3 linked regions of the Caenorhabditis elegans genome follow. The protein of the gene in region 1 interacts with the protein of each later gene in a pairwise test. Each region holds a gene or a part of one and is shown in the gene's direction. Other genes may lie near its edges.

Region 1 (7,337 bases):
CGCTCCATCGCACAGTTTGAACGTCGCGGGTCGAAGTTAGATGTGCAGGTCATATAGCAAAAAGAGAAACACCCCTTTTTTTCTCGAGAAGTTTCACCAATTTTGCGCGATTTTTCAACTATTTTTTTGCTTTTTTGGCTTAATTTTGGCTCAGATTTTCCTCAAAAACATGAAAATCCAATCTAGAATAAGTAGTAATGGGTATATTCTAAGATTGTGCAAAAGTTAGCTTGAATTTCCTCGATTAAAGCTTTCCTACCAAGAAAAATGTGTGGATATTTTGAATTTACAAGTTTTTCATCTTTTTTTTGTAATATTCTCTTTGAAACTCCTGTTTCTCTCAAATTTGTAAACTTTCATAAACGTTTTTTTCAGGGTTACCACATTAAACAATGACCGGAAGCACCGAAACTCGCCAGAAGGAAGTCAAGGAGGTTGGTTGTTCAAAGTGACGTCTAAAATATTTAAATTTCTATATTTCAGCCACAAGTTGACGTTTCGGATGATTCCGACAACGAGGCCGTCGAGCAAGAGCTCACCGAGGAGCAAAGACGTGTGGCCGAGGCTGCTGGACTTGGAGATCACATCGACAAGCAGGCCAAGCAAAGCCGCTCCGAGAAGAAGGCCCGCAAGCTCTTCTCCAAGCTCGGACTCAAGCAAGTGACTGGTGTCTCCCGTGTCTGCATTCGCAAGTCGAAGAACATCCTCTTCGTCATAAACAAGCCAGACGTGTTCAAGAGCCCAGGATCTGACACCTACATCATCTTCGGAGAAGCCAAGATCGAGGATCTCACCCAACACGCCCAGATGTCTGCTATTGAGAACTTGAAGCCAACTCGTGAGGCCCCACAACTCAAGACTGTCGAAGAGGACGAGAATGAGGATGTTGAGGTAATTCAGTAACTTAATCGGATTTATTACATTAATTGTACGGTTTAAGGAGGATTCCACCGGCATTGAGGAGAAGGACATCGAGCTTGTCATTTCCCAAGCCAACACCACCCGCAACAAGGCCATCAGGGCGCTTAAGGAAGCTGACAATGACATCGTCAATGCCATCATGAGCCTTACCATGTAGCTTGTTTCCTGATGACCTTGCAGATACTCTTGTTATCGTTGTATCTCTTGCTTATCCCGTTTTCCGTTCCAAGTAAACGTTTATCAGTCTTTTTTAACTTTTTTGTTATGTTTAAAAAACAATTGCATCTTCGAATTGACCTACCTTTTACAGAAAAGAACAATTAAATCACTGTTTGTGTAAAACACCCCTCTATTGATCGAGAACTTTCACTTCTTCCAATTCTTTACTCGTATGACTGTGATTCATTTCACCTGCTATCACTTTATCATGACATTCCAGTTTATATCAACAGCAAATACCAATTGTGTGTATGTGAAAAATGCTATTGAATAGCAAGCGCGCCCCAACAAACACGTTTGAATGCGCGGGCGAAACGGCGTTAGATGTGCAGGTCATATGACAAAACGCATCGACCAGCAGCCAATGGCAAGTTACTGCGAGCTGTTATAGATTTTTTCACATGGTTTCCAGTGTTATCAGTTGGAAATCGATCGATAATACTGACTAGTAGTACTTAACATCTTCATTCCCACCGTTTCGCTGTCATTTGTGATACGTGGATTTATTTTTCCTTTCTCGCCGACTTTTCATTTCTAAATCTTTTCTGGAATTGCGAAATTTTCAGCCAGTTTCATGATCGAATGGCTCGTAATGAACCATCATCTCAGCAGCCGAGTAGTTCCGGGAGTAATGGAACTCCAGCACAACAAAACGGGTCGGCAAAACCATCAAAAGTCACAGTAAAAGGTAACAATTCGTAGATTTTTTGCATCTGTTCTAATAATATTTCCCCCTCTTAATCATAGTCGTCAACGCGTCGTTCACCAAGGCAGCCGACTGCTATGTCGAAATCACGAGTGACACGTCATCGGCGGCGCCAAAAAAGACGACTGTAAAGAAGAAGACGATGGCGCCCGAGTGGAATGAACATCTCAACGTTCATGCAAATGAATCTTCGACAATTTCGTTTCGTCTATTGCAAAAAGCCAAGCTATTCGATGACACGTGTCTAGGGATGGCGAAGCTGAAGCTTTCGAGTCTCACAAGAAATGAGAATGGAGAGTGTAAGTGGTTTTATTGAAATTTTCTCAAAAAATCTATTATTTCAGTCAAAAACGACATCAACAATATATCTTTGCTGGCCAAAGACTCCTCGAAAATCGGAACTCTCAACATAATTTTCTCCGGATATCCAGAGCGGAAACGAAGAAGCGCAGGAGTACGAGCTGAAACCGCCGCGTCTGCAAGTTCAGAGGCATCCACGTCAAATGGCGTTGCCACGTCATCCTCGGCGCGGAGACCGGCGACAGCGAAGCGTGACACTTTGGCGGCTCCAACGGTAATCGTGACGAGACCCATTTTGAATTATTTAATTATTCATGAAACGCTCTACTGGAGTGTTCATAATTATTAGAGCGCGCTCGCGCGGCACCTCACGAACTCCAGAATTCGCGAGGACAGCAGTTTTTGGCTATTTTGGCTTCTATGGAAATTATTTTTAATTTTTTGATTTAAAATATTGTTGAGAAGCATCATCCAAATTGAAAATGTGTAAAATTATGAAATTTGACCGAAAACTGAAGGTTTTACAGAGAGGAGTCACCACGGCTTTCTTTAAAAAGTATCAGTACCGTCAGTATTTCGATTTCAGAGTCGTAAAATATGTCATTTTGTAGAGAAACGTCTGTTTCACAAAAATCCATGTTTGATATTTTAATTGTTTAATTTCTAATATAAAAATATTCAAAAAATCAACAAGTTTACGTTAAAATCGAATTTTTCAATCGTTCAGTTTTTAATAAGAACAATTTCATAATTTCAAACATGGATTTTTTTGAAACAGACTTTTCTCTACAAAATGACATATTTTACGACTCTGAAATCGAAAAAACTGACGGTACTGATACATTTTAAAGAAAGTCGTGGTGACTCCTCTCTGTAAACCTTCAGTTTTCGTTAAAAATAATTTCCATAGAAGCCAAAAATAGCCAAAAACTGCTGTCCCCGCGAAACGAAATCCCGCGAATTCTGGAGTTCGTGAGGTGCCGCGCGAGCGCGCTCTAATAATTATGAACACTAGAGGAGAGCGTGAATGAGCGTTTTTTATTCTTTTCTCTGCATTTTTAATGCTACAGAATCATACACAAAATGTTGTCAAATACATGCATTACTCTACTACTCTTAATGTTTACTTTTCATTTGCAGAGTACCGCAGCGGCGGCAGCAGCAGCAACAGCAGGCGGCACCCCGGCCGCCGGAGCAGAAGAACAGCTTCCCGATGGATGGGAGATGCGTTTCGATCAATACGGACGCAAGTACTACGTGGATCACACCACCAAGAGCACCACGTGGGAACGCCCGTCTACTCAGCCATTGCCACAGGGATGGGAAATGCGAAGAGATCCGAGAGGAAGAGTGAGTTTTCCGGCGGAAAAAGCAGATTTAGCACGAGAAAAGCGTTTCTGATTATATTTTTGATGCGAAAATCATCAAAATTAAAAATATCTACCGTAGCCGCGGATACCTGGACCAAAATGCCGAAAAAAGTGACCTGATAAATTATTTTAAGGCTAAAATCTTGATTTTTACATAATTAGTGTCTTATTTTTGTTGATTTCTTGTCAAATTTTTGTAATTGCATCGAAATAGGCCAAAAATAAAGTAAAAATCAACTTCCAACACAGAAAAACTGACAAAATTGAAGATTTTTGCTGAATTCAGGCAATTTTTCGTAATTTTGATCCTCCATAATTTTTTTTTTCGAGAAAATTTTGAAATTTTTTCTTTAAATACGGCCTGAAAATTAGGAAATTATAACGACGGATAAAAAATTCTGATTTTCTTTATTTTAACCAAGGTCTCCAATTATTTGATAATCGAAAAAAAAAAAACTTTCCAGTGATTTTTACTTGAAAAATGTCTAAAAATTCACGCCAGGTGCACAATCCATTTTCAGGTGTATTACGTGGATCACAACACGCGCACGACCACCTGGCAACGACCGACAGCCGATATGCTTGAAGCACACGAACAATGGCAATCGGGAAGAGATCAGGCGATGCTTCAATGGGAACAACGTTTCCTTCTCCAGCAGAACAACTTTAGCGCCGACGATCCACTCGGACCATTGCCCGAAGGATGGGAGAAGCGTCAGGATCCGAATACGTCGAGAATGTACTTTGTGAATCATGTAAATAGAACGACACAATGGGAAGATCCGAGAACACAGGGGTATGTGAAAATTTTCAATTTTCCAATAATATTTCTATCAAAAATCACAGTTTTAATGTTTTAAAAGTTTCAGAGGCTCCGACCAACCTCTTCCGGATGGTTGGGAAATGCGATTCACCGAGCAAGGCGTTCCATTCTTCATCGATCACCAGTCTAAAACCACCACCTATAATGATCCAAGAACCGGAAAACCCGTCGGCCCGCTCGGCGTCGTCGGTGTTCAAATGGCCATGGAGAAGAGTTTCCGGTGGAAAATTGCACAATTCAGATATTTATGCTTGGTAAGGGAGGGCGAGAAATTCTTTGATTTTAGCTATAAATTGATGTAAATTTCAGTCAAACAGTGTGCCTAATCATGTCAAAATCACAGTATCCCGTAATAACGTGTTCGAAGACTCATTCCAAGAAATTATGCGTAAAAATGCAGTCGATCTACGCCGGCGGCTGTACATTCAATTCCGAGGCGAAGAGGGTCTCGACTATGGAGGTGTCGCCAGAGAATGGTTCTTCCTGCTGTCGCACGAAGTGTTGAATCCAATGTATTGCCTATTCATGTATGCTGGTAATAACAATTATAGTCTTCAAATCAATCCAGCTTCATTTGTTAACCCGGATCATCTTAAGTATTTCGAGTATATTGGACGATTCATTGCCATGGTGAGTGTTTTTTTTTAATTGAAAATCAGTTGAAAATTGGATGAAAAATTGCGAAATCGAGAGAAAATCGAGTTTTCCGCTTTTTACAATTGAATTTTAAAATTTTAAACGTTAAATTTTGCAGAAAATTCCAAAAAAAAGCACTTGGATCTAAAATTTTTGTTTTTTGATGAAGGAAATCCTTAAATATCGATTTTTTTTATTTTCAGCTCAAAAAACCTGGAAATTTCGATGATCTCAAATTTTCAGATCAATATATTTCATTTTCTCCTAAAAATGTTATTTTTATTTAAACAAATAGTTTTTCTTAGAAAATTCCTTTATTTTCAAATTTCCAGGCGCTATTCCACGGGAAATTCATCTACAGCGGTTTCACGATGCCATTCTACAAAAAGATGCTCAACAAGAAGATTGTTTTAAAGGACATTGAACAAGTCGATTCGGAAATTTATAATTCATTGATGTGGATCAAGGATAACAATATCGATGAATGCGATATGGAGCTCTATTTTGTTGCCGATTACGAGCTGCTCGGCGAGCTCAAGACTTATGAGCTTAAGGAGGGCGGTACAGAGATTGCTGTTACCGAGGAGAATAAGGTGAGATTTTGGATTAGCTAGAGCTTATAAAAATAATTTTTAAATAAAATAATTTAATTTAAAAAATCCCAATTTTCCAGCTTGAATACATCGAACTGCTCGTTGAGTGGCGCTTCAATCGCGGTGTCGAACAACAGACAAAAGCCTTCTTCACCGGCTTCAACTCGGTCTTCCCGTTGGAATGGATGCAGTATTTCGATGAAAGAGAGCTCGAGCTGTTGCTCTGCGGAATGCAGGACGTTGATGTGGACGATTGGCAGAGAAATACTGTCTACAGACATTATGCTCCACAGAGCAAGCAGGTAGGGGAGAACATTTGATTAAAACTTCTTTTTTTTTAATTAAAAAATACATTTATAGGTAACCTGGTTCTGGCAATGGGTTCGAAGTCTGGACCAAGAAAAACGTGCCCGGCTCCTACAATTCGTCACAGGAACGTGCCGTGTGCCAGTCGGTGGATTTTCCGAGCTGATGGGCTCGACGGGACCACAACTATTCTGTATCGAGCGTGTCGGCAAGGAGAACTGGCTCCCACGGTCGCATACGTGCTTCAATCGACTCGACTTGCCGCCATACAGAAGCTACGATCAGCTCGTCGAGAAGTTGAGCATGGCGATCGAGATGACGGAAGGATTTGGAAACGAGTAGTCTCCCGTTGTTTTTTTTTGGTTTTGCTGGCCGCCTAATTATTGTATAACCCTCATATTTCTTCTCACCCACACCCCATTGATTTTCCTTTTTTTTCTCTCCATCAATTAATGTTTCTTTTTTTCGAATTTGTGTGATAATTTTCGTGTTGTGATACCACTTGCTTAGGTTCTCTCTCTCTCTTTCCTTTCCTTCTGGGTATGTACCTATATTTAGAATATAGACAAAGCATCTAGTTTTTTTGGATTTAATTTCCAAATTTCCCGTTTAATTCCAACAACAAAAAAACAATTCCACCACTTTTCAAATATTTTTTTTGTGTCCATTGCTTCATTGCTTTTCTTCTTCTCAACCATTTCAACCACCACCACCCAATCTGCGCCTTATTCTTACTTGGTCCTTGTCATTCTTAGTTCCAGTTTTTTTCACGGAAGCAGCTCTCGATTATTAATTCAAATGCATCCCCCCAACCAATCCGTCACCCCCCGATTAGAACAATTTCTACTTTTTTTTTTGAAAACAAAAAAAAACACAATTCCTCGATTTGGTTGTAATGAATTTAATTTTTTAAATTTTGAGCCTTTTTTGTTGTTTTAGGTTTTCTTAACTTTCAGAATTTCCATGCGGAACACACGGAGAGCAGAAGATCAATATTTTGAACCCTGCAGGAGAAGGACGGGACCCTTTGGTCACTCATGTCTCGGCTGTCTGCGTCTCTCCTCTCTCTCTGCACCAGCGGAGAGGATGGATAGCCTCATTCGTTTTATTTCGGACTTTCGATTTTTCTTATTGCTCCACGTTTTAGCTTTTATCAGATTCGGGGAGCTCTTGCTTTTTTCTTGATTTTTTCGTAAAGTGTTCTTGGGTCCCGCAGCGAAAATTAACTTTAAAATGATTTTTTAAAAACTTTCTAAAAATTCATTTTTTTTTCCATTTTACGACTAGAAATTTCGAAATTTGAAAAAAAAAACCGTGTTGCAAATGCGCTCCAGCGTACAAAACAAAACCGCCACCAAAAAATTTAAATTACTGAAAAAAACGATGAAATTTTGAATTTGTTTTGCCATTTTCCGGCAATGATTTTTTAAATAAAAAAAACTGTACAACAAATGCGCTCCAGC
Region 2 (7,337 bases), on another chromosome or scaffold:
TAAACCTTTTCAAGTTTTCAAATAAGTGTTACTTATGTACTTTGCCACGCCATCAATCCAAAAAAAGCCTATAAAAATGAGAGAAAGTACAGATTATGACAGATTAGTTGCGGTTGGGTCGAGAAAGAATTGGCAACAATGGACGGGTTGAGAAAAAAAAATGTTTTTGATCTGAAGTGTAAATATAACAATGTATCTCCTTAAGTTTTGTGGAAGAACAGGAGAAAAAAAACCGAATTTTTGATTTTTTTCCAGTTTGAAAATTTAACTTTTTTCGCGAATTTATTGACTATATTCAATGAAATTACTGTTTTCAAGGTAATTAAATAATCATTGTGAAACATTATTTCAAACGATGTCTTCATCTTAATGTAGTGAGACAACTGTTTCTATTCAAATTAACAACATGAAACAATATTTTGTGTTTTTTTTTCTGCAATAAGCATAACTCCTTCTTTTTACGCTCATTTCTCACCTTCACCAAAGTTCGACCCCATGGTTTTTTTTTCAAAAACTCTTTTAAAAAACTGAAAAAAAGCTATGTTCTCAATAATTTATATAATTAAATAATTAAATAATTTCATACCTTTTGAAACAGAAAATTTTTTTAAAAAAGTATATACCATACATATTTCCTCTATTAGTATTGCACCCGACTACTTAACTTTGAAACGTTATATCTAGGTTCATTTTAAAGATATCAATATTTTGTTAACTACGAAATGATAGAAAAAGAACTAGCAAATATTTTGTTAGTTGGCAATGTTTGAATAAAACAAACGATAACTGAGATATAATCTATCAAAGTTTAACAATGGGGATGCAATACTAATACGGTAGATAAAAAGTTGTCTTGATACATGTCGCAGAAAAATATGGGACTTTTCTATACCTAGATTTTTGGCGCAACTGGTGAAAACCCGCAAATGACTTCTACTTCTCTAGTATTACTCCGCGAATTCTATTAGGATTTTGCAAATATTTTGAAACAGTAAAAATTGTAACTAACTTTCCGATCTTTCTAGGAATTTCTTCACCAAATGTTCTCTTTCAAGTCCACATTTAGCGCACTCGGTAAGGGTCTTACCTACCACTCACAACACCAAAGTTCGACCCCACGGCCCTCGCAACTTCTTTCTCATGGGCGTGTCGATATGGGGGGTAAAATCCCGGTATTTTCTCCCGCAATTTGTATCTATCGAAATGTGTCCTTCCCACCCAATCATTTCTCTCTGTGTATCTTCCCTTCCAATGAATTATTTGACCTTCGTCATCGCCTCCTAGCGGGCGTCTTCTAATAGTATAGAAGGCGTGTGTTATAGGGAGATGGGGGTGGAGAGAAGAAGTTGACTACTACTGACTTACAAATTACCGCCTCCTCCTTCCCCGTTGCCTAATACGGGTGAGAGGAGGTCAACATGTGTGGTGGGAAATTGAACGGAATTCGGAAGGAATTGAAAGCGATTTGGGGAGGGAAAAGTTATTACTAATTGTTTTCCAGGTGTTCTAATTGTTTCGAATTGGCAAATTTACAATCACTAATTTTTGTAATTAAATAAATGAAAAATTACTGTTTCAAATTGTCTTTTAAAGCGGCTAACAGAACTGAAACGGTAATTTTTTTTGTTTTTTTTGGAAAAAAAATAGACTGTAGAAACAGCTGCTCAATTTTTGTAACGTCAGAGATGTGCTTTTTTTGAACTGGGAATGTACATTACTATGACTAATTACGTAATGTATTTTGAATTTCTTACTTTAAATGAATGTTCTATCAAATAAATTCATATCCGTTTCTCTCTCGCGGCAAACACAATAATTTTCTCGAAAAAAACATTGAATTAATTAAAAATATGAAACAGCAGAATTTTTCAAATTAGAAAAAAAAACTATCTTCGCACTATTCTCGCATCTGAAATATTGCTTCTAAATCACAACCAAACACATTAATTATTACTAGTGAAGCAGCTATTTTTTTCTGAAAATTATAAATTAAATTTAACATATATTTTCACTAAAACTACAAACTACAATTTGAGCACAGTAAAAAATTGCACAACTTTTGTAAAATCGAATTTGTAAAACGAATTAGTGTTTCTTTATACAGCAACTAATCCCACATATTTCAAAATAAGTAATGCAAGTGAAACAGTAAATTTAACAAAATTAACCTAATTTTCAAATGATTCTCAACCGAGCTTAAGTTCAATACCTATCCAAATCCCAACCAGTTTTTCATTCCAATTCCAATCCATCTACTTTCTCTCTCCACCTGTGTCTCTCACCTCTACCATACTATTTCTCCCACCTTTTCAATCGACAGTTTTTTTGCTGTTTCGGTTTCTACTGGATACACGCCTTTGGGGCGTGGAAATAGAAGAAGATGGATGGATTTTGGAGGAAAAGTTGAAGGAAAACTAGAGAATGCTGGGGCCCGGATACTTATTATTTCTTTGATTCGATTTTCTTTACTTTTTCCCCAGTTACAACAGATTTTGGAAAATTTCACGAAATTCAATTTTCTTTTGTTTCTTTGGATGTTTTTAAAAAGGGATTTTGTAGTTTGAAAACTTGAAAGCTTACAGAAAATTTTATGAAAATTTGCATTAAATTTTCTGCAGTTTCACACTCTTTATTTCAGCGTTATAGGGGTTTTTGCAACATTGCTTCAATTTCAATTTTTCCTATTGCTAAATATAGAAAAAAAAGCGGTGGCGAATTCTTTATGAAATTGTCTAAAATCCATCTTGTATACGTTTCAAAAAAAATTATGCTGTTTCAAAAATGTAACTTGTTAGCACAGAATATACGGTTTTCGTTCAGATTCGTTTTCAATCTCAATTTTCAAAATCTTCAGTTGAAGAAGTTATCTTTTTCTGTTTTTTCTTCGTAAATCTGAAAAATAATCACTGCTTCAAGTTATTTACGATTTTTAATTGATTTTGAAATCTAACTCAATTACTTTAATTAATTCTGTCATGTTAATACATCTACAAAAATAAATCTTACTCCTATATTTTTCATTCAATTTCAGATCTGATTGACTTGATTTTCAAGAGTATAGCTATTGCTAGAATTTTTAGTTGTTTTTAAATTTATCATTGATTTTCCGAGTATTGTTTTATTCACTAAAATTTCCAGATTCACAAAAGTTTTTAGTGAAAAATAAATCAGTGAATTGAAAATGTTTTAATTTAAAATTCAGATTTTTCTCTCAATTTCTCACTCTAGCCGCTTTAATGTTCTCTTCTCTCAATCTTTTTGTTAATTTTTTGAAACAAATTATCACTGTTTCAAGTTTTTTTAAAAATAATTAATCAATTTTCAATTTTAATTTTCACATAAATTGCTTTCGCTTTCATGATGTTATTTTCAAAACAATATTTTTCACTATTTTCATTTGTTATATAAAACATGGTAAAACTTCCCATTATACTCTCTTTTTGCTTTCTTAACTCTAGTTTCCAAATTAAAATTAAAAAATTGTTTCTAAACTTCAATTATATTTTCCTAAAACTTTCCACGAAAATTAAAATTCATTAGAATTTCTTACAGTTACGAAAAAGGAGCCAAACTTTGAGATTTGAATTCAAGTTTTCCACTTTATAATTAAAAATGAAAATTTCTTCCTTATTGTAACATATCATTTCGTTAATTTTTTAAACCAAAACTTTAAAATTTTCCTGTTTCACGTTGTTTATAAGAAACATTGATTTTTTAAAAACATTGCTCGGTGGATTTTCTGAGTCTTTTTCAAAAAATAAAACAAAACTTTTCTCATGTTTTTATTGGTTTTCAAAATGTCATATATTTTTTACTTTTCCAATTCCAACTACAATTTTTCGAAAACCCAATGCTTCAATTTTTCTTCCATAACTTTAAAGTTAAATTAAATTTGATTTTATTTCAGCCAGTCAAATGCCATTTGCTTAAAAAGCGAGGAAATTTATCATCAGTGAAGAAGTGTAAAACATCTATTAAAAATGATGCGTCGAGGTGGATCGATGGGTCCACCGAGCGGGGATCCATATCAGAGGTTAGTATATTGTTTTATGAAAATAATTTAAACACAAATACAAGGCAAATTTGATTACATATTGAGATAGTCAAATTTTACAATTGAAATAAAGTTTTTAAAGCTTTAAACTTGTTTTGTATTGAAAATCCAAGTATTTGATAATTACTCCCAAAATTGTGTCAATTTTCTAAAAATTGCTGACAATCTAAAAGGTGTGAGACGAATTAACTCAACAAACTAAGGAAAGCAGAACTAGAAAATATTTGAACTTTTTTTTGAAATAGAAGTTATGAAACGGTAATTTTTGCGAAATTTTTTAACCTAAAATTTAACTTCAACGTATTTGAAAATCCATTACTGCAAATAAATTTTGAGACTGAAATATTTCTCAAAAATTGACTATTTCGCAATAGATGTTAAATGAAATTTAATAAGTCACCAGAATTTCAAACAGGATGAAAATGAAAAAAAAACAGCTTCAAACATTTTTGTTGAAGTAATTTTTTTAAATCTAAATTGCTTCCAGCGACTTTTTAGAGCTGTTTTCTGTATGTTGATGGCTCGTAATACCCTAAAATTCATTTTTTTTCAAATAGAAAAAAAAATCGAAAATATCGCTGTTTCAAAGAAATGTTATATTTTCAAAGTTTTATCAATGAATTGTTCTGCTGACCTTTTTATTATGAGAAGATCAAATTAAATCATTTATCAAATTGAAGTCGATCCCCTATGAAAGTTCGACTAAACTGACTTCAAACCGCTTTTTAAACCGAAAATTGCAACATTCTTACTGAGTCAATAAAAATTAGAAAAATTAAATGAAGATGCTGAAACTGTAGAGTGTTTCAATTTTCGGTTTAAAAAGTGGGTTGAAGTCAGTTTAGTCGAACTTTCATAGGGGGTGGAATCCTTTAATCAGAAAATTTTAAACTGGATGAAAGAAGAAGTAAAAACAAACAAATAACTGCTTCAGATTCATGTTATTTAATTTCTGAATTTACTTTTCCGTTAAAGAATTTACTTTAAACTTTTTTTTTAGCAAATTAAAAATAATCTTTAAAAATCTAAATCTTGAAAAAGGAAAAAAAAAATGTGAATATCAAAATTTTGACCGTTTCACATTGTTTTTTTTTAATATTGACATTTTCTGGTAGCATAATATCAACAGAAGAATATTACTTGTTAATAAAAAAATATTAAGAAAATTAACTATTTCGCTTTCCTTATAAATATTCGTTATCAGATTTTATAAATTAGTAAGCTCTCGGAATTTTCTTAAATTTTCAGTTTTAAAGTCAAAACGACTTCCTTAATGTTCTAGAATAACTCAATCAATTAATTAACCAATTAATCCGTTGAAATGTCCCAGTTCGACAGGATTTATTGAATTTTCGAAATGAAGTTGATTAATTAGTTTTCAAGATGAATATCTTATTTCTCTGTTTCACCACCACACCTCTTTGGGTGTGGTTTTGGAAACTTATTTGGAATGTGAACGATTTTCCTAATGCCAATGAACTTTTTGCATTTTTTAAATTAGTTTTTTGAAACAGTGATTTTTTGTGAAGTCGTTTAATTGTAAGTTTTCAATATTAAACACCTTAAAAGTTAATTTATTGCGAAACCCCCTATAATAATGATTAGAATATTTCAAAAGTTGATTTTGAATTACTCTGATAATGCGTTTGAAATAATTTTTTCTGTTGAAACTAATTTGTTTTTTATGGTTTCCCTGTCTTCTGCATTTTTTTGAAAGCACATCATTGATAAAATGTTTCTAAAGTTTTATATTAAACATTTGGAACCGTGAAAAATTTTAAAACAACTCCAATATAGCTAACTTTTTTACATGTGCTTGTTTTTTGGAACAGTTTATTTTTTGTGCAAATTTTTAAGTATAATATTTTCAACATTTTACCATGTTTCAATGTAGTATTAAATTTTACCTCCACCATAAAAAATTATTGATTTCAATCTTATTGGTACATAACTCAAATGTTGAAAAAAAAATTTGTTGCACAATTGGAACTGTTTCAGAATTTCCCTACTTTCAAGAACAATTTTTTTTGGATATCGCAGTGTCCAAGTTTTCGAAAATTTTAGTCAGAAACCTGAAACTGTATCAATTTAAGCAATTAAAGTAAATTTAAAAACAATTATTGTATTCTTAAAAACCTGAAAATTGAATTGTTTAAAAGTGTAATTCACTGGAATTCATCAATATTCAAACTTTTCACATATTATGTAGCAAAGTGAAAACAGTAGAATTTTTAAAAAATTTAGAAAAGTCCTATACATTTTCAAGTTGCGATCAAAAATGGAACAAAAAGAAGCTGTTAAGTTTTGCTTATTCAGTCAAACTGTTACTATAAAATATAAAATTCAAAAGTTCAAGAAAATCATTTAGATATGTAACCAAATAATATTCGACTAATTTCTAATGAAAATACCTACCTAAAATCTAAAATCGTAATCACGGTTTCACAGAATATTATTTGGTTACATATCTAAATGATTTTCTTGAACTTTTGAATTTTATGTTTTATAGTAACAGTTTGACTGAATAAGCAAAACTTAACAGCTTCTTTTTGTTCCATTTTTGATCGCAACTTGAAAATGTATAGGACTTTTCTAAATTTTTTAAAAATCTTTGTGAAAAATGCGACTCTCTCTTAAAAAATTCTCTGTTTTTGTATCAGGGGTGTGCGGCAAATTTGCCGATTTGCCGAAAATTGCCGACTTGCCGAGCTCGGCAAATTTGCCGATTTGCCAAATTCGGCAAATTTAAAAAAACCAGCAATTGCCGATTTGTCGAGCACGGCAAATTTCAAAAAAGTAGATTTGCCGAATTTGCCGAGCTCGGCAAATTTCGAAATTTGCCGCACACGTCAAAAATTTTACAGTACAATTTTGACTAAAATTATTGATTTTTTCGCCAAAAATTTAGTAAAATGACACAAAATTGAGTTAGTTTTATGCTTAAGCAGACATACTACACGGAACTAATTCAGAAACCAGATGTGTGTTAAGAATTCGGTAGTTTTGGTGTTCCAAAAAACATCAAAAATTATCAAAATTTTCCGAGTTTGTTAAGCACGGCAAATTTGCCGAATTTGCCGAATTTGCCGTGCTCGGCAAATATTGAAAAACCAGCAATTGCCGATTTGCCGAGCTCGGCAAATTTTGAAAAACCAGCAATTGCCGATTTGCCGAGCTCGGCAATTTTTTCCATTTGCCGCACACCCCTGTTTTGCATGTCTTCATCGACTGCGGATCGTTACAAACATTAAAACAATGTAGTGAAATTGTATACCATTAAATT
Region 3 (7,337 bases), on another chromosome or scaffold:
AACTTTAACCTCTTTGTTAGAAAATAATCCAGAATGCTTGCAAGAAGATACGATCATTGGATTGATTGTTTTTGGAATGGAGTTTAAATCGATAACCGGAATCACTGAAATATTCGAAATTAAATTTTAAATGTGATTTGCTTTTATAGATAAATTGCTAATGATTTCAAGCTTCAGTTTAGCCCAGACGGGGTTAAAATCAGGGCTCAGCGGCAAACGATTTTTCCGGCAAAATTAGCGAATTGGCAATTACCGAAATTGAAAATTTCCGGCAAATATAGCAAATTGACAATTTGCCCAATTTGCCGGAAAATCTGTATTTGCCGATAGTTGTGAGTTTTTCTGGAACTTTCAGAATTTCAGTTTTAAACGAAAAAATTGTACACATCCGATGAATAGCCTTACATCTATTTTTAAAAGTCAGTGAATTCTATGAGAATATCGTTAAAAAACGGGGGAAAATTTCAAAAAGGCACAGTTTCAAGTTTCCGTCTTCTCCGGCAAATTGTTATCCGGCAAACGGCAGATCGGCAATTGGCCGAAATTTAAAATTTCCGGCAAAAAAAGACAATTTGCGGATTTGCGAGATATTATATTTTGACACAAAAAATATTCACATTAAATCATGATTTCTTTTCTTTTTCAGGTCGTATCAAAATCGTTTCCAACTCACCAGAAAACACCCTCTTCGCTTCAACATTCATCCTCCATGGCCTATCTAATTCCACGTGTACCGAATATCGAACATTTCCATGCGTCCCTTCAAAACTCGGTGGTAGATTTGCAGGAAGTTGGAAGAGAAACGGAAATATGTTCACACCGCCAGGGATTTTATTGTTCTAAATGTGGTGTGTAAATATTAAAGTGTATTCAAATTTACTAACCGCGTTTTCAATGGAACTCCATGGCTGGGCGATTCCTTCCAAGACGTTTATCTTGCTAGTATAGTTGATATGTTCAGAGCTACGATACCATCGACCATGTCGGTCACTGAAAAGAAATATGGTGGTTAAAATCAGGGGAGCGCGGCAAATTTCAAAAAACTGGTTCAGCCGAATTCGCCGCGCTCGGCAAATTTTGAAATTTGCCGCACACATCACAAATAGGCTTTTTTTTCAAATTTGGCCAAAACTGTTGATTTTGTTCAAAAAATTATAGTAAAATAACATGAAGTTGAGTTCAAAGTTGTGCTAAAAATTCAGTAGTTTTGGCGCTTCTAGAAATATCAAAATGTTCTCATTTTTCGGAGTTTGCCCAGCACGGCAAGATTGCCCAATTTGCCCAATTAGCCAAGCTCGGCAAATTTTGAATGTACCTTTAAATAGTGGATAATCTGATTACTGTTTTGGAAAGGAGAGAGATGAATATCTGGCGGAAGTATTTAAATTTTGTATGTACCATAAAACGAGCGGCAATAATAATTTCATATATTTTTTAACGAAGCTTCTATTGGCGATTTTAGTTGTATTTTCATGTCATCAGAACTTATAAATTAGTAAGTAATCTTCCTCTACGTCACTTTCATTTCAGAACCTTACATATTGGCTCACTTCAAATGCCTAACCCCAAATTGAGAAATTCAGATTTTTCTGGAAAAACAACTCTGGCCGAAAACTTGAATTTTCTGAGAAATTTTTTTACTGAAACTCGTTTTTCTTGACTATTTTTTGAAATTTTAAATAGTCCCCAAAACTCACTATCTCCCTTTATTCTCAAATTTCCTCCACAACGTTTCAATATCTCCATGGATGCAAATTTTCAGAGCCAGTGCATTTAAAGCATTTCGATTTCTGATTGTTAGCTTCCCTGCTACATTCTGTCCAGGGGAGTATACAGCGGCAGGATGGTCGAATTCAATGAGAAATGTGGTGTCTCCCATTTTTTGTAAGTCTGACATGAAATTATACTATATTACAGCTTTACATCCAATATTTTTCTTTACAATTAGTTGATATAAATAAGTTCCGAATAAAAACTAGAAAAAAAATCTTAAAAAAGAAACAACTCAGTTCATTCCATTCTCTTATCAACTAATAACTTTTATTTATAAAACATGCACCATGTTTACGTCATGTTTTCTTGCCGGAAAATTGATAAAGTCTGAAAACGTGCAAAAACGTCATAGACAACGTACTTCATTGGTCTTTTTTTTCTTTTCAGTGCAAACTTTGAGCATGAATCAGAACAATATACTATTTATGGGTTATTTGTGTATTTATACTTTATGCGATGACGTGGTTCTTCACAAGTTTTTAATGTTAACATGGTTATTAAATATAAATCGGTGTGCTTTTTTTAAAAATTCGCTATGAATTGGAATTTATCGATTATATATTATTAAAGTTATTAAAGATAGTGTATTGTTAACGGGGTTTTGATTTAAGATACCCTGAAAAATCTAATTTTGGCTAAAATTTTGATATTCCATTTTTATTTTGAATTCGCTCCAAATTCAGAAGGCAAAATATATTTTAAAAAACTAACCAAAAAATTTACAGTCAATAGTTTTTTTGTTTAAATTGCTTTGGTTATGTTCGTGCAAAAAAAAAGTGTCCTGACTATAAAAATAGCAAATTTTCCGTACTTTCAAATGAATGTATGACCGTCTTTGTAGCTACGAAATTCATTTCAAAAAACCCGAAAAATGTTTTTTTTCAATTCCACCACCATAAAAAAAAGTTTGGAAATTATATTAGGTTCGCTATGTTTAATTGTGAGTAGAAAAAAAGTTTCCTGACTTGAAATATAGCAAATTTTTTTCTCTTTGAGAAAAATGATTTGTCGCGTTTAAACGCGACAAAACATAGTTCATAGTTGGCCAAAATGTTTTTTTGTAAGCTTAATAAATTCCTCTAATTATTTGAAACAGTTCCTACAAAACCGTTTTCATTTATTTTATATTTTAGAGCAAAAAAGTACGGCATATAACTTCTAGCTGGAGATTTAGGAGAAATTCAAATAGGAATTTTAGGAAAAAATTAAAAGCCTCCTTCCTCAAATTTTTTTTCAAATTTTTAGTTATTTTTGTTACTCAATTTCAACTCTAACTTCAAGATATTCTTCAAAATATGAGTTTTAAATTTTTATTTAGTTCTGGATTTTTTATGATTTTTTTTTCATTTTTCAAAGAAGAAAATGTATTGCATTCTAAATATTTTTACAGGAAAATTGAAAATTTTTCGCCGATTGCCATGTTACGTATTGGATTTTTTGTCGTTTTTTTCCAATTAAAAAAAAATAATTTTAGAGAAAAAAAAAACGAAAAATCAAAAGAGAATCAACTATGTGTAATTTTTTGACAAACTTTGCAAAAGTTTAGAAAAATTCTATAATTATTTTAACAATCTTAATTATAATAATAAATCATATTAATAATAATAAATTTTAACAATTTAACGGTCAATTTTTTAAATTTTAGAACAAAATTCCCCGAATCCGTTGATAAATTTCTTAAAATAAATTGAAAAATTAAATTCCTACATTTTGATCTATTCCATCCCATTTTACTACTTGTTTTTATGATTTTGGTCTCTAACACATTAAATACCATCCCAACATACAATATTTGTTCTTCCCCCCTCCTAGGTCTCTCAAAACAAATACTATCTAGGTGTCCAAAATGCATGCACATTTTGGAAAATTTCGCAAACCTAGTGACGGAATTTTCACCGTTTTTTGTTAGTCACCAAATAAGCTGGCTCTACTGATAAGTGCTATCATTGAATTTAATGTATTCTTGAGAGCAGTTTCATAATTATTTCAGTGTGCTGGAAACAACTTTTTGATTGTGATTTTATATTTCAGAATCGATATGATTTTCTGTTGATTTTTTTGTAATTTTTAATGTTTAAAGTTAGATTATTACGTCGAAAACATAAGCTTTGAAAAATTCCAGAAAAATTGGTATTATAAACTTTTGTTCAGGAGTTTTTAGCCAAAAATAATTAAATGTTTTCGCTACGAATTTTCAGTCTAAACTTACTAGTAAAGTTCTTCCAAAAACATTTTCAGCCAAAATTTTATAGCAAAGAATAATTCAGTCAAACCAGAAAATATTATTCTATACAAAATGCGCTATAAATATTTTCCACCTAGAAAATTTAATCAAAAATTTACAGACCAAAAATATTGCGATAAGCATTTTTATGCCAGGTTTCCAAGCCAATTTATTCAGTTTGATCTTGCTAGGCGAAAATTCAAAAAAAATTTTTAGCCCTCTAAAAACTTCAAAATGTTCAGCTTGAAAATTTCAGTCAAAATTATAATTTTGAAATTCTACGCATTTTTAAAAAATTCTCATACTATTAATTATGTCAGCTAATAATAATTAGAATATTACCAGAAATGGACGACTTGCGAATTGAGTACGACGCTCCGAACGATGTATACTTCCCAGGACAGGCTGTCACCGGAAAAGTAATCATACAGAATCGTGAATGGATCAAAGCGAGGTTTCTGAAAATTTGCATTCACGGAGGTGCACATACGCATTGGAGTGAAAGTCGCAGCACATATAGGACGTGAGTTTTATTTTTTGAATTTCTGATTTCAGCACTTTTTACTTGCTTCCCTTAATAGTCGTTTACCTAAAGACCATAATTCAATAAATAGTCACTAATCGGAAAAATACGATAGCTTGTCTTTTTTTTACTAGACTGCTTACCTGTAAAATAAACCCTTTGAACATCAAAAAACAAAATGCCTTTCAGAAACACACGTGGAGAAAGGGAACGATTCACGGAGAATGTGAACTATAACGCGACTATCAACTATTTGACCGGAGAATCGATTGCATGGCAGTCGAGAGATGGAACTGTGAGTTATTGGTTAAGCTGTCTTCACGCTTTCAACAAACTCTTGTTTCAGGACCGTCTTCCAGCTGGCACCAATGTCTTCCCATTTGCTTTTAACCTCCCCATCAATTGTGCGCCAAGTTTTGAAGGCTGTCACGGACATATTCGATACGATGTCCACGTGGAATTAGACAGACCATGGAAGTTTAATAAAAAGTCGAGGAAATGCTTTTCGGGTATATTCGTTTAATAACTTTGGGTTGAATCGAAAAATGTCGTTTCAGTGATTCCGGTGTTCGATTTGAACATAACTCCAACTGCAATAAACCCGATGGTGAATACTGCATCGAAGAATACTGGACTGATACTCAAAAAGGGATTAGTTACAATTACGGTAAGGGATTATCGAATTAAATTGAAGATAGGTAATGTGGTAGAAATGTTAATAATTTTTTTCACAGTTTTTTGTCTACTACTATAAATTAGCTACTAACTCAAAAACATCATAAAATAAAATAAAAACAACCTTTGTACGCTTCTCTTTATCAATTTGCAATAAAGCACCATTGACAAAATCTTATCATCACAAAACTTTTGGAGTACAAGTTTTTCATTATTGTGAATCCGATTTCAATACTTTTTGCTCACCAAATTACACAGAAATTGTCATAACCAAAAATTTAGAGGGTGGCATATAGAACTTGCACGCACTGTATATACTGACATTAATAAAAGAGTGTAGCTCTAAATACATCAATAATGGTGAAGAAATAATATTGAAACATACTAAATTGTTCAAAATGTAAAAAAGGGGTTATTTGAACACTAACAGATGGAATGCAAAGTTCAAATAGTAATCACTGACGCTTTATTCATGATGTATCATTAATGATTTGCTACTTAATTTTCATATTTGATAAAACCCAAAAAAAACACTTCCAACAAGTTTTCCTTGAAAGAATATAATACTTATTCTTCATCCTATAATCTACGTCTGAACTTTAAATGATATAACAGTTGAATACCATTATAGTATGAATCTTCAGGTAAACCTCCCAAAACGCGGCTACGTCGCCGGAGAAATCATGCCAATCACCGTAAACATCGATAACGGCTCAAAGGTTGCCGTCTCAGAAGTTAGCGCAAAAATGACACAGCTCTCGCATTTCCACGCAAGTCACGGCAACATGATCGGCGTCACAGCCCATACTCATAATCGTAACGACGAAAAGTTGGTTGCCGAATCGAGAAGAGTAGCTGATGTTCCAGCGAAATCCCGTGGGCAAATGGTTCTTTCGATGAAGATTCCAGCGATTGTTCCGTCTTTTAATTGTCCGATTATCGCCGTGGATTATTGTCTAACCGTTAAAGTTTCAACTCAACAGATTTTCGGAGGTGGCTTGAAATGTGAATTCCCATTGATCATTGGAACAATCCCAATTCGACAGATGAATCAAGCAGGCAATTTTTTTTTGAATTTTAATGGTATATCCTCTATCTTCCAGCTCCTGGAGCAATGCCAACTATGCCATCGGTCTCCGCTCCTCCATATCCTGTAGTCGCCGGAGCATCTGCGTCTCAAGCAGTCTACCCGACTGCTCCATCGGCCCCGCCAGCGTCTCCCGGAGGAGAAGCTCCTCCAAGCTATGAAGAGTCTGTACACGGAGCTGGGAAAGTTGAGGATGCAGAGGTAAGCTTCAAGCTTGAAATTCTCAGCAAAATGCTCACGGAAAACTTGCAGGCCTTCGCTCCTCGCTACCCAGTCTACAACAACTTGCCACAACAGCAAAATTCTCAACTTCCACCAGAATACGCACCTCCACTGCCAGCAAAAAGTGGATTTTAATTTATTTTAAATCGGTGGCCGAATTTACTGGTTTTTCTCGGCCATGTTCCGCAGTTTTGTTCCGACTTTTCAGATGATAATAAAAAAACGCTCCATTTTTTTGTGGACAATTTCCGAAAAATTTCCGAAAATATACAGAAAAAAATAATTTCAGGTTTTTTTAACCTCGCGAATTTTTAACGGTGATCACGCGGTTCTGGCTTCCCTCATCTTTTGAAATGGAAGAGTTTGCCGAACTAGGCCATTTTGGCTTGGCAATATCTGGGGTAGATTTACGGCGCGTTGCGTGTCGCGTCGCGGCTGGTTTTAGCTGTAAATTGTTTGATCGTGGCGAGACCCACTCTGAAAAATACCATGTGCCTTTAAGTACGAAATTTGGGGAAAAACGTTAAATCAATTTTTGCCAACATAAATTTGAATTTCGCGCCTAAAATTTTTTTAAACATGAAAAAACCAACAAAAAATCAATTAAATTTATTGAGGTCGTCATCATTATCCAAGCACATAATACTATACAAAATTTATAATTTAAATTCGAACAAAAAAAAGGTAATTTATCGGAATACAACCGTACGCAACGTATCCTCATCCCGAACCTCCATCACCGCCTCGGATCCATCGTTAAATCGATACGAGATGCCTCCGTCAATGACCAAATGAGCATCGTAACCGCGGCTCTTGATGCAAATTTTATCGGC

What was found.
Region 2: the proteins of wwp-1 (region 1) and eps-8 interact in a two-hybrid assay, tested with the Caenorhabditis elegans proteins (2 studies listed by BioGRID).
Region 3: the proteins of wwp-1 (region 1) and arrd-7 interact in a two-hybrid assay, tested with the Caenorhabditis elegans proteins (2 studies listed by BioGRID).

Annotation. Positions count from the first base shown.
Region 1 is NC_003279.8:535,416-542,752, forward strand, and holds wwp-1 (E3 ubiquitin-protein ligase wwp-1), read left to right. Parts: upstream 1-1,706; 5' UTR 1,707-1,722; coding exon 1,723-1,828; intron 1,829-1,887; coding exon 1,888-2,145; intron 2,146-2,190; coding exon 2,191-2,420; intron 2,421-3,286; coding exon 3,287-3,496; intron 3,497-3,670; exon of another isoform or gene 3,671-3,827; intron 3,828-4,037; coding exon 4,038-4,312; intron 4,313-4,379; coding exon 4,380-4,593; intron 4,594-4,648; coding exon 4,649-4,969; intron 4,970-5,307; coding exon 5,308-5,568; intron 5,569-5,648; coding exon 5,649-5,870; intron 5,871-5,928; coding exon 5,929-6,216; 3' UTR 6,217-6,783; downstream 6,784-7,337. Other genes in the region: icd-2 (Nascent polypeptide-associated complex subunit alpha), read left to right, coding at 393-434, 484-891, 941-1,078. UniProt on the Caenorhabditis elegans protein: E3 ubiquitin-protein ligase which accepts ubiquitin from an E2 ubiquitin-conjugating enzyme in the form of a thioester and then directly transfers the ubiquitin to targeted substrates. Ubiquitinates klf-1.
Region 2 is NC_003282.8:14,875,583-14,882,919, forward strand, and holds the start of eps-8 (SH3 domain-containing protein), read left to right. Parts: upstream 1-3,980; coding exon 3,981-4,033; intron 4,034-4,087; exon of another isoform or gene 4,088-4,108; intron 4,109-4,246; exon of another isoform or gene 4,247-4,267; intron 4,268-4,459; exon of another isoform or gene 4,460-4,481; intron 4,482-4,679; exon of another isoform or gene 4,680-4,700; intron 4,701-4,784; exon of another isoform or gene 4,785-4,805; intron 4,806-5,024; exon of another isoform or gene 5,025-5,045; intron 5,046-5,174; exon of another isoform or gene 5,175-5,195; intron 5,196-5,269; exon of another isoform or gene 5,270-5,293; intron 5,294-5,346; exon of another isoform or gene 5,347-5,367; intron 5,368-5,499; exon of another isoform or gene 5,500-5,522; intron 5,523-5,754; exon of another isoform or gene 5,755-5,775; intron 5,776-5,977; exon of another isoform or gene 5,978-6,001; intron 6,002-6,067; exon of another isoform or gene 6,068-6,088; intron 6,089-6,211; exon of another isoform or gene 6,212-6,232; intron 6,233-7,257; exon of another isoform or gene 7,258-7,278; intron 7,279-7,337.
Region 3 is NC_003280.10:12,059,627-12,066,963, reverse strand, and holds arrd-7 (Arrestin C-terminal-like domain-containing protein), read left to right. Parts: upstream 1-4,342; 5' UTR 4,343-4,344; coding exon 4,345-4,520; intron 4,521-4,709; coding exon 4,710-4,815; intron 4,816-4,866; coding exon 4,867-5,029; intron 5,030-5,077; coding exon 5,078-5,187; intron 5,188-5,839; coding exon 5,840-6,254; intron 6,255-6,298; coding exon 6,299-6,483; intron 6,484-6,534; coding exon 6,535-6,639; 3' UTR 6,640-6,732; downstream 6,733-7,337. Other genes in the region: arrd-8 (Arrestin C-terminal-like domain-containing protein), read right to left, coding at 1-104, 674-839, 885-990, 1,698-1,879; nadk-2 (NAD kinase 2, mitochondrial), read right to left, coding at 7,194-7,337.